Linked DNA regions of Caenorhabditis elegans. The protein of the gene in region 2 purifies or fractionates together with the protein of the main gene of each other region. This does not show direct contact. Each region holds a gene or a part of one and is shown on either strand. Other genes may lie near its edges. The genes, in order: math-42 and syp-6.

What was found.
Region 1: the proteins of syp-6 (region 2) and math-42 fractionate together in Caenorhabditis elegans (co-fractionation; one large-scale study listed by BioGRID). This does not show direct contact.

Annotation. Positions count from the first base shown.
Region 1 is NC_003280.10:2,097,837-2,104,887, reverse strand, and holds math-42 (MATH domain-containing protein), read right to left. Parts: upstream 4,963-7,051; 5' UTR 4,954-4,962; coding exon 4,847-4,953; intron 4,624-4,846; coding exon 4,325-4,623; intron 4,280-4,324; coding exon 4,153-4,279; intron 4,111-4,152; coding exon 3,830-4,110; intron 3,785-3,829; coding exon 3,670-3,784; intron 3,289-3,669; coding exon 2,929-3,288; intron 2,881-2,928; coding exon 2,782-2,880; intron 2,730-2,781; coding exon 2,452-2,729; intron 1,868-2,451; coding exon 1,741-1,867; intron 1,697-1,740; coding exon 1,419-1,696; intron 1,372-1,418; coding exon 1,260-1,371; intron 1,216-1,259; coding exon 882-1,215; 3' UTR 708-881; downstream 1-707. Other genes in the region: T16A1.2 (uncharacterized protein), read right to left, coding at 6,279-6,402, 6,447-7,051.
Region 2 is NC_003279.8:6,564,231-6,569,661, reverse strand, and holds syp-6 (Thyroid receptor-interacting protein 11), read right to left. Parts: upstream 3,507-5,431; 5' UTR 3,490-3,506; coding exon 3,431-3,489; intron 3,386-3,430; coding exon 3,312-3,385; intron 3,266-3,311; coding exon 3,140-3,265; intron 3,093-3,139; coding exon 2,704-3,092; intron 2,661-2,703; coding exon 2,175-2,660; intron 2,131-2,174; coding exon 1,986-2,130; intron 1,837-1,985; coding exon 1,474-1,836; intron 1,431-1,473; coding exon 1,128-1,430; intron 1,083-1,127; coding exon 1,003-1,082; intron 956-1,002; coding exon 896-955; 3' UTR 769-895; downstream 1-768. Other genes in the region: ipgm-1 (2,3-bisphosphoglycerate-independent phosphoglycerate mutase), read right to left, coding at 2-53; mei-2 (Meiotic spindle formation protein 2), read left to right, coding at 3,812-3,924, 3,971-4,257, 4,305-4,457, 4,505-4,794; bag-1 (BAG family molecular chaperone regulator 1), read left to right, coding at 5,213-5,372, 5,417-5,431.

The DNA.
Region 1 (7,051 bases), on a different chromosome or scaffold from region 2:
TTGAAAAAATTTCAGTTTTCAACTAATTAAATTGACTTCCCTTTGTTTTTACGATTTGTACAATAATACGAACATGCAATTATTTTTCAAATTTTGAAAATTGTAATTGTTAAGCAAGAAAGAAATAGAGAAAAAGTATAACTTTTTATTTTAATTGATAATTAAAAATCGAGAATAAAATTGCAAGCCCAGTATATTGTAATGGTTGTAAAAACTGGAACATTTAAAAACACATATTTAAAAATGACATGACTAACCATGGAATGTTGTATCGTACTTCAATATCACTATAGTCACGATCTCCTTCTCTGAATTTTGATATATCCTTGAATGTGTGAATTAGCAAGAATGGTCTGCCTGACATTTTCTGAAACAATACGGAATTGTAAAATATTTGTAAAAAAAATTGAACGAAGAGAAAGAAAGATGGAATAATGAATTTTCTTATCAGTATGCAAACAGATTGAGCACTGATACAAAAAAAATCGATTGCAGTTTGTTTGTTTCAGGGCTAACAATACTAATTTTTATTCTTCACATTGATTTTAGGGCTGTTATTGGAGGCCCTCGTCCCATTCTCAGTAATATGGTGTCGTACAATCGTTTTTAAAAGTCATTACAAAGTCCAATGATTGCTAGTTTCAGGGCACTTTTTTCTTCGATTTACCTTTTAATCCGTCTATGATTCAAGTAACCATGTACACCTTTTTTTATTTAACTTCAAACTTATATTGTTTCATCATTTATTAAAATAAAACATTAAAAACGAGTTCAATAGGTACAAATTGTGATACATTTAACCGTATTATTCAACAGAAATGTGTTATAGTTCTTGTCTAAATCCTTATATCCGAGTGTTCCACGTAACTTCACAGTTCGGATTACTGTTCTGAGGTGGTAGCATCATCTGTGATAACGTCATAACTTTTGTCATCCCTTGCTTCCACTAATTTTACACGAGCTTCAATTCTAACGCTATCATCAACCATGTAATCTTTCTTCATATCTTCCCATGTCAAATCCCTCGTCCAATGAATTCCTTCTGTTCTTTCGAATATATGAGTGACATAAATATCTGTCAGTGTTCTTCCAGTGTCTGACACTAGAATGAGCTGAACTTCTACTTCAATCGACCAGTCTTCATCGTTGGTTAATGGCTTATCACAGTGAAGGTGAAGCAAAATGCGCTGTTGTTTTCTTTGAGCAGAAATTCTCCTGAAAAAGGGTACACTGGATTTGTGATACATTGGCATACTAACCATGGAATTTCACAATGTTTTTTGGTTTTGCTGTAATTATATTCTGCTTCATTTATATTTGAAATTTCTTCGACAACATGCTTGATTACGAGGGAGCTAGCTGGTAGATCATCTGTAAAACTACATATAACACATTTTGAATAGAGTTCTACAATAAACCTGCTATCGGAACACACGAAACGTGAGCTTCGATTCTCACACTATCATCCACCGCATACTGTTCCAACATATCCTTCCATCTGATGACTTTAGGATCCCCGTTCGAATCGGGTGTCTCGAAATTGTGCTCGAAAAATTCGGAGATTTGTTTCCCACCAGCTCCAACAAGAGAGAGTTGATACTTAGCCTCAACGGTCCGCGACTCTTGCTCACTGTTCTCATTTCCGCAATTCAGGAATAACTCGGCAAAGCCGTTGTTGTTCTTCAAGCACACTTTCCTGAAATGGAAACATTTCACAAAAAAAAACCCTTAGTTGCTTACCATAAAGCGTAATTCCACTCTTCTGAATTACTGAAGGATGTAGTTCCTTTACGCATGTTTGAAATATTTGCGACAGTGTGAGACAATGTAAAACTTTTTGCAGCTGGCAAAATCTCGCAAGGAAGTTCTAAAAATTTCAGGGGTGGTTTTTAATATAGTAAACGACCACATTAGGTGCTAATGGTAGTAAGAATAGACAACGTGGGTCAGTCCTGAGCAGATCGCAAGTGCCCAAAGGCCCACAAAGCCGGCTAGGGGTTTAAAGCAGGGGTGTGCGGCAAATTCGGCAAATCTATTTTTCCAATATTTGCCGAGCACGGAAAATTCGGCAAATTCGGCAAATTTGTCGTGCTCAACAAACTCGGAAAAATTACATATTTTTTGATGTTTTTTGGAGCACCAAAACTACTGAATTCTGAACAAAAATCTAGTTGCTGAATAAGTTACGTGTAGTGTGTCTGCTTAAGCATCAAAATAACTCAACTTTGTGCCATTTTACTAAGTTTTTGGGGACAAAATCAATAGTTTTCGTCAAAATTTTATTGTCAAATTTTTTGTTGTGTGCTGCAAACTTCGAAATTTGCCGAGCTCGGCAAATTCGGCAAATCTACTTTTTTGAAATTAGCCGTGCTCGGCAAACGGCAAATTCGGCAAATTCGACAAATTTGCCGCATACCCCTGGTTTAAAGGCAAACATTTAAAAGTTCCAACCTTCCACCTTGTTCAGTTTCACTTTCGCTTGTATATTAACACTGCCGTTAAGCTGATAGTACTTCTCCATTTCGTCCCATCGAATGAATCGACTGATACCTTGTCCACCTGATTTATCAAAAACGAGTTTCAATGTTTGTTCTATATTACTGCCATTTGTGCAAACCAATGTGAATGTGCAATCAGCTTCTATTATCTTGTTCCAAGCCATACAATATTCTTCATTACAAAACAAAACAATTTCAAGAAAGCCTAACGTTTTTCTAGCTCGAAGTCTCCTGAAAAAAATTATTTTTCTGAGGTGATGGTTTTTGAAATATTATAATTTACCATGAAATATCATAATGCTGTTCTGTATTGCTCCATTGTTTCTCACCGTCTTGAAACTTTGAAACATTATTGACTGTGAACGGTAGAGAGAATTGTTTTCTGAAAAATACTTGGTTGAATTAGTTTTAAATCTCAACACTCGATTACTCATTAATTAGTTCTTCATTCAAAGATTCGTCCGTCGTCTCTTCCTCTTCTTCTTCTACTACTTCTTCTACCTCTCCAATTCCTGTCATTTCGAGAATAATTGCTTGAGCTTCAATAAGGAGAGTGTCGTTGACTAGGTACTTCTCTTCTAAACTGTTCCATCTTAAGAGTGTAGTCCATCCGGAACCGCTTGGTCTATCGAACACACATATCGCACTTAACAATAAACTTCTCCCATTTGGTGGCACTATTTTCAATTGAATATCAGTTTTAATTGACCATTTTCTGGATTTACATAGTTGTTTCTCACATAGAAGAAACACTTCAAAGAACCCGTTTTGCCTTTGAATTTGCAGTCTCCTGAAGTATTGAATATGGCAATTAGTATGAATAGGTTTTTTGTGTTCGATACATATTCATTTGTCCCATTGAAATCCAAGCTATTTAATTTTTGTAAAAAAAAGACATGACGAATCTTATAATATATTGGCTCCGCATATTTTATGCACTACTGTTTTCCTCTATTACGCTCATATTACCCATCAGTACCTATTCTCCTCACACTCAAAAATTGTATGTATGTATTTAATACGATTAACAAAAAAAGTGAATTGACATGAATAAGTCAAAGCCCAGATATCATAGCGATTTCATGTTGAATTTCATGTTGTTCAACTGAACAACTTTAACAGATGATAAAGATAACTAATAAAAAACACATTTTTAAACAAAACAACAAACCATGGAATGTTGAAACGATATTGAGTGTCCGTATCGTAGTCCTCTCCTTCTCTAATACTCGACATGTTCTTGATAGTATGGGATAGTGCAAATGTTTGCATTGTACATGGCTCATCTCAAAATAATCCTTGATATTGTTAATCTAAAAAACAAGTCCAACCTGCGAATTTAATTATTTTAACAGAAATTTCCACATCGATACTGTCATTGTTCACATATTCGTTCTCCATATCATTCCAACTAATAAATGTATTGTCTCCCCAGCCCGACGATCCATTTCCAAACACAGTCGTTTGCTGTGCTGAATGAAGATTACCACTTGCAGAAATCAATTTAAATTCATATTTGCATTTTATTGACCATTTCCTCCCTTCATGGTATTCTTTTTGGCAGTTCAGGTAGATCCCAAGAAATTCGTTTGTTTTTATTATTTCGATTATCCTGAAAAATTATGAATCTCCTAATAGTGCACCAATAAAATACCAGGGAATATTGTAATGATCTACTGCATCGCTGAAATCTTTTTCATCTTCCTCAAATCTCGAAAGGTTCTTGAACGTATGTTTCAGAACAAATGAATTATTGGAATCTGGTTGAAGATTTGGAAGATCTGGAATTTGTTAATCGGGAGTACTACTCATAAATCTAATCTTACACTTGACTTCAAAGAAACCTGTACTGCTCACAATATCGGCATGGATTTCAATGATAGTACTATCATTATCCACATAATCCCTTAGCATATTCTCCCAACTTATGAATTTATCCATTCCATATCCTTCCGGTTTTTGGAATTCATGTTGTACAATCCGTCGGAAAAACTTTCCACCTACAGTTACTAATTTCATAGTGAATTTCGTTTGAAACGTCCACTTTTTTGTCTCAATACACTCCTCTTTTTCACAGTGCAGGTTTACACCAAGAAATCCATCATTCTTGAAAATGCGCAGTCTCCTTAAAAGTAAAATTGAGAAACACCGCTCTATTGTACTGGTCGTGAAAACGGAGAGAATTTAAATTTAATTAGGTAACAACTGATATTTTTGAAATTTCAAATAAAAATAAAAGTTAAGAAAACATAATTTTTGGTATCGGATTAAGATTTTTAAGCAATTCCCCGTTGCACTACTTCACATATAACTATTAAGAACCCGTATTTATAATTGATATGACTAACCATGGAATGTTGTATCGTACTTCAATATCACTATAGTAACTCTGTCCTTCTCTGAGTTTTGACAAATCCTTGAATGTATGAATAAGTATAAATGGTCTACCTGCCATTTTCTGAAACCACACCGAGTTGTAAATTATTTGCAAAATGATGGATGGTAAATGAGTTGTGGTATTAAAGAAATTGGAGGAAGAGAAAGAAAGATGGAGTTATGAACTTTCTTATCAGTATGCAAACAGAGTGAGTACTACGGACTAAACATCGATTGAATATTATTGTTCTAAGACTTGCAATACATTTTCTGTTCTCGTTGAATAATTTATTAAACTGTGAAAATCGTAAAAAATAACAATTTTCCGGAATCCGAACATTAACAATTATCTTAAATCAATAAATTGTAATACTTTCAATGAACTTGAACAAAATAACGGATGCTTGATGGGGTTTGATAGTAATTATGAATATTAAAATTATCTTCAAAAAAAAAGAGAAACAAAGAAATAGTTTGATCAATCTGTGTTTAAAAGGATTATTAACAAAATAAACGACTGCTGGAGGAGCAGTACGGGTAAATAAAAATTCTTATCAGTTGTGACACTTGAATGTGGAGTGGCGGTAGTAGGGTTGTTATCACTGACTAATTTAATGCTAAAATAACAAAATGGCTTCAAGTTTCGGATTCTGTAAGGATGATCCAGTTGATGTACGTTTTAGAGATGTGGTTCTAGAAAGTCTATTCAAAGTCCAGATGAATCTATTCCAGAAGTGTTCCAATGAGTAGGCGCCGGAAGTAGGAGGGCAAACCCAACAATTCGACACATAGTAGGGGTTCATATATCACCCTCTTCAGGATTTCTAGATACCTCAGCAATCTTTAATGGAATAGGAGCTGTAGCCAAAAAAAGTGAAAATTCCAGGAATTTCAGAGAGCTCAGAAATTATTCAAGGAATAGAATCATGAGTCAAAACAGTCATGCCCAGGAATCCCGAAAACTCTTTCAACTCACTTTTTCGCGAAATAATTGTATTAAATATTCGGAATAATTATTCATTATTCTTTCCAGTTAGGCACATATTCCAAATCTATGGTACCGTCTAAAGATGTATGTGCCAAGACAAAAAATAATTAAAAAAGCAGGATCTGGCTTCGGAAAAATCGCCTTCAGATGATCAAATGAGGTACCATCACCTGCCGGATCTTTATTGCTACTTTGACTTTGAAATGAAAATATTGAACTTTTAAAGTGGAAAGATTCAGCTAGAATGTCATCAAAGCACGATCATCGTATTTAGAATCTCAATTACAAAGTTTATTTACCACAGAAAAGTTAACTTTTTGTTAGGACTCTTTTATATTTAATAGGCGGTCTTCTTCAGCAATCAAGGGCTCTGAAAACTGAAATCATTAGCACATTAATTGGTAAGAACTACTCACTTAATCAAATTTATTATAATACCGCCGTTTCAAAATATGAAACAAACAGTCTTCCTCACAATAGCACCAAATCGCAGCAATCAATAGGTTTCCAGCGGCATAAGCGATGAGGAAGATGGTCATTCTGAACGTAAAAAAAATAATTGCAAATGAAATGGTTATACTTACTCGTAATAAATAGTGGATACAACTTTTGGACCGTGATATGTAGACTTGATTGGTTCTGGTTGCACTTCGATTGTCTCGTTCTTGAGCACTTTCTCAATTTGTCTCATGACTCTTGGCATTGCGAGAAGGGAGGACTTGTAGACGGAGAATTTAAGATCCAGTTTTGACAGTGCAAACGCCGCTTCTTCAAATTCTACCTTGACTGTTTTGTTTACTGAATAGATATCATCCCACCATGTAGCTCGAATCAATCGATTCTCTAACTGTAGATTTATGTCTTCGAAACTAGCCAATTTTGCGAGCCAATCCCCAAATTGATGAAACTTGAGTTTTTTCGGGTCAACGATTTGATCCGCCCACGTATCGACCTTGTAAAAAAATGTAGCGATTTCGAGAACTGTGTGTCTGAAGTTTCCAAATAAAGACTTCAAGAGTGGTGTGTATTTGTTGCTTTTTAAGTTTTCGATTATCTTCTGAATCATCATACCTTTCTCAATGAACTTCTCAAAATCATCCTTGTGATCGAATGCTTTTTTGATAGAAACCAATGCTTTCACAGCCTCTCCAAACGTTTTCGAGTATTTGTCCAAATTTTTCAAGTGTCT
Region 2 (5,431 bases):
CCGCGTCGTCCGAAATATTGCCGATAAATTTGAGCGCCCAGGGCTACGAACATCTCTATTTCTCTCCGTCTCTTCTGTCAAGCACTATTTCATTGACTTATTGAAATGTTGAAAGAAATGAGAATAAAATTGAGAAACGTTTTCTGTGTGAGATTTTTGCACGTAAACAACTCTTCTATCACGTATCTCTAACATTTCTCTCATTTCTCAAGAAATTCTCAATTTCTCGTGCTCTCTTCTTGAAGGATTTTCTAGATGTTTGGAGCCGCGCTAAACTATTGATTCGAAACTGAACAAGAAAAAAAACAGAATTGACCCAAAATAGAAGTGTTTGAAAGCGGAGACGCAGAGAGCTGCACGAAAAATGATGCAAAAGTGAAGTATTGAAATTGAAAAGTTTTAGCGAGCGAAATCAAAAAAGTGTATCTTTATTGAGTTTAGTGTCCAAATAAAACCCTTTTTCTCGCACCGCCCGTCTTTTTCAGCGAGACAACGACCACAGACAAATGAAAACTATTGAAACAAGTAAATACATACAAACTTTTGTAATTTCTCAAGTACTCTTCTTTTCTAACATGCATGTTGACATGTAAAATTCTTCTTTTCTAACATGCATGTTAACATGTAAAATAAATTTTATAACAGTTATTTTTCCTGAAATTCGACGGTTTAATAAATATTTACAGGACTTAAACATTTAAATTGATTTTTAAAGATAAATTTAATTAGCATTTTGACAGTGACAGCAATAATATTGAAATATTAAAGAACAATGATTTATAACTTATAACAGATCACAAACAATAGGAACATGATGGAATAGTACAAGATTACGCGAAAATTCCGTATAAGAGGAACACAAAAAAGTATGAATTAAATTAGAATGTAGAAAGTTTTAGTCGTCACCATCCCAAATCGTTTGATCTAGACCGCCATCATCTGGAGCAACCAAATCCTGAAAACAATAAATGTTTCATGAATATTCCATTAAGAGACACAAACCTCATCATCCATGGATTCGTTTTCCTCAGATCCTTGTGAGAAGCCAGCTTCACTTTCAGCTACGTAGCTGTTGCCAGAGCCTGAAAATAGTTGCAAATTGTCAAGCTTATTCAGAATTCAAGAACCACTTTTATCATCTGCAACTGATTCCTCTTTTTTGCCAGATATTTTTGAAGAACTCTTCTTAATTTGCTCTGCAGCTCTTTTTGCTTTTTGTCTGTTATCGAATTCTGCCACATGCGCAGTCATGGAAAACTCAACGTCGTTAAGTTTTTCGTCGGTGCCTGTTGGATTGAAGAAATCATTGAGCATAGATTCATCCTGAGTGGTTCCAGATAGGATCGACTCTTCCGATGTTGCCGATATACTTGCAGCCGGATCGTGGCGTTTAGATGAAACACTCGCCGGGCGGTTAACTTCAGAGGGACCTGAAGTAATCAGAATTTTTCGTACTGTAAAAATTATTATTACGGCCGTAATTATGGGAAATGTGTTCCATTTCGCTTTCTCGGCGAACATTATCAGGCAATTTATCCATGTTTTTCTTGGCCTGCATTGTATCATACTTCTCCATATGAGCAATCATTGAAAACTGTGGACGCATTGAAGTTTGTTCTTTGCTAACCGGAGAATTAAAGAATGCATTCAATCCAGACTCATCCTGTGTTGTGCCTGTATCGTCATCGAATGTTGAATCTTCAGAAGTAGCAGATTCATTTAGCTCCGATGTAATCTTCCGAATAACTTCAGTGGGCGTTGCAGCGTCTTTGTTGATAAGTTTTATCCCTGGATAATGCACACCAATCGGTCCAATAGATCGTGTTGAATCTAAAACTATAAATAATTATAAATTTATTTCTTCTTTGACACAAAGTCTATTAAAAAAACTTTGCAAACTTCTTTGAAAGCGTCGTATTTTGTTATTCAAAAAAGTAAACATGTGGTTGTAATCAAATTGGTATAAAAACAATTAAACATCTTACCTGAAGTGAACGACGACTGCGACGTGGTTCTTTGGTTCCACTTCTTAAAACGCAATGATTTCTCCACATTTCGAACATTGTCACGCTGGAATGACTCTGGTCCGGGAAGTTCAGTGCTAGATGCCACGAGACGCCGAAAAGCCTCCTGAAACAAGACTTGTAATATACTGAATTTGAATGAATAAATACTTCTTTCTTTGATTCCACATTCTCTGGGGTGTCAGATCGTTCCACAGCACGGACAGTCACTTTCAATTTATTTAATGTGATTTTGCTTTCAGCAATTTGTCGCTTGACGTCCTCGATAGCAGATTTCTTCCGAGTCAGAACCTCTTTTTTAACGATATATGCGTTTTCCAATTGGTTTATTTGATCAAAACTCTTACGGACTTTCTTGTTCTGATATTTAATATCTTCCAACGACGCCTCGAGATTTATTATACTTTCTGAGTTTTCAGCTTCAGACTTTTCAAGAGTTTGCAGTTCATCGGAGAGCTCGCATACCTCATTGCAATCAGGAAACTTTTCGATAGATGTAAGATTAATTTTGTTAAGATCACTGAGGTCAGAGCACAACTCATTAAGAGATTCTAGTTGCTGGGTCATCATAGCTGATTCTTGGCTGATCACATCCTGTTTCAATGCGTCTTCATATATTTGCCTGGCTTCGTTTATCTAAATTATAAATTTTACATCCTTTTTTATGAAACAGAAATACCTCCTCTTCCAGTTTCGCTTTATAAACATTTTCACTCGTAGAAGAGTCTTTGACTGAAGAAAGCTTCTCCAGAGACAATTGAATAATATTTGACTCGAGATTTGTATTTACTTGAATCTCTTCTTTTAGCTTCATAATTTCTTTTTCAGTTTGAAATATAAGTTTGCCTGTTGAAGATTGACGCTTTTCCACATCGACTTTTTCATTTTCCAGGTGCTGAACAGCACTCGAAACTTCATCAATGGAAAAAACCATAGTTTCGTGTTTTTTTGCAGATTTTTCAATACACGCTTCATATGGAAGTGTGATCGAAAGCACTGACATTTCCATCGGAAGAGAGTGATTGCCCTTGGAACAGAAAAAATCCATTTTATCAATCGTGGAGTTAACTGAAACACGAAAACTAAAATATTAAAAGTTAAAAGGAAAATGATACCTTGATCAGTAGACTGTGCCAAAAATGAATGAAGTTTCTTCTGGTGATTTTTCACATCTTTATCGCTGACTGACATTTCTTCTGCGGCTGTTGCCGAATGTTTGACTTGTGAACAACACGAATCGACTGAAAAAATGTAATTCGTTTGCAACCAAGAACGAAAATCGCCTACGGAGTGCATGGTTTCTTGATAGGTCTCTACACTGTCTTTGAAAGCTCGAAAACTTTTTTTCGAGTAGGTTATTGCTGAAATTAAATTAATATAAACTGTTTCTTTTTTTGGTGACTTACTTTCTGATGATCGACTTGACTTTCGCTTCATTTTCCAACAAACCAAGTACTGGAGCCATTTACTATAAGAACTAAATTAAATATTAAATATATCGTTTCAAGAATTCATTGGAATGAGGCAAAAGTAAATACTTAGGATTAAAAAATCCAGCTTTATATTAAAAACTTTAAAGGCGCATATGAGATGTTATTCGGGTCCCGCAGCGCTCATGCGGGGTACGATAGTACTTCAAAGAATTACGCGGGAATTTCTTTTATGCGGGAAAACGGTTTTTTCTTGTTTACTAGTTCCTTTCTTTCGTCTAATTTTGATATCTTGTGTTTTTTTCCAATTATAAAATGTTTGTCTCTTCTTAAATTTGAAATTTTGAAATTTTTCAGATGTCAGGGCTTGACGACCGGAAAAAACTAACACATGCAAAAAATAGGAAGCCTCTCAACGACATTCCGAAATCCGCTGAAAACAGACCAAATACAAGATCTACTTCGAGTCGGTGAGTTCTACGAAAAAAGTATCTGAAGCGATTATATTTTTTTCAGACGCGGTGCGGAAAAGGACGTTCCCATCACTTTCATCGGGAGTTCTCGAACTGTGAAAGCCGATCTGCCCGAGTTCACAAATACTCGCTCAAGACGTCCATTGCATTCCGAGTCGAAGAAGGAATTGTCTCGGAACCCGGTTTCGAGAGGTGAAGAACATAGCAGTTCTTTGCCAAAATCCTCCCCAGAATCATCCGTGTCAGTCATGTCATCAAACGCGTCGTTGTGGTCCGCATGCACCGAGGAAGTGAATAAAATCGGTGTTTGTGCGAAGCGAGAGAGCAGAAGTAGGATTTGCAGAGTTTTGATTTTTCAGTTTATGTTTTCTTTTCAGATCTTCGTGTTTATAAGATGAAGAGTTTCACAAGTAACATGGAACAGATATTGTCAAACGACAACCAACTCGCTCCCACAGTCATTAGAATTCTGAATAGTAGAAACTCTTGGTGTCTCAACTCGTGCCATGCTTGTTTAACATTTATCATGGGTTGGTTTTGCTTCCTGATAAATTTATTCTAATGTTTTGTAATTCAGAAAATATCACGAGCGACAATTATGGGAAGCGATCGGCTTGCTTGAAGGCTCTTGCATCAATTACCAACAGTTTACTGGACACAATCATCGGATTTGCATCCACCAAAACTCGGCGAATTGGAGTCGATGTGGTAGCTGAAGAGCGAGCTGCAAAAGCAACAGAGTGCATTCACAATTTTCGCAAAATAGTTAAAAATCGGGACAAAATCTACAAACAGATTGACCAGGAGACAATTTACAAACTCGATGCCATTCTCGAGCGATTGAAAAAAGTTTCCAGCCATAAGTAATTTTCTTGTAAATAATTGCATACTTATTATTCAACCGATGGTTATCACCCAACTCACTGTTTATTTTATTGCTCATACATTGTGTTTCTTACATGTCCAATATAAAAACTATCATGTGCTCTCGTATTGTGACTTAAAAACAAAAATGGGCTAATTTAATGTCCCTCACAGTATCGTACGAAAACGGTGATTCATTGTCTATGGAATCGTTTTTCTCTGAAGTCTCTGAGCGAGTGCGCCCCATTGCAATCGATGTGTACACCTCGTGGAGGAACTGATTTTCGCATAAGCTTCTCGTCATTTCTAGAAGTTTCTTAATTTTCTAATAAGTTAACAATAATTTTGTTCCAATTTCTTATTTATCGACACTCGGAGGCTTCTCCCACTGCTAAAACTGTCTCAAAATCAATTTTCAGAAATGAAGGTGAATGTGTCGTGTTCATCCGTTCAAACTACAATCGACATTCTTGAGGAAAATCAAGGAGAAGACGAATCTATTTTGACACTTGGGCAGCTACGCGATCGAATCGCCACCGACAATGATGTTGATGTTGAAACCATGAAGTTGTTGCACAGAGGTTGTTTCTGATTTTTTGGAATAATGAGACAAAGTATTTTACAGGAAAGTTTCTTCAAG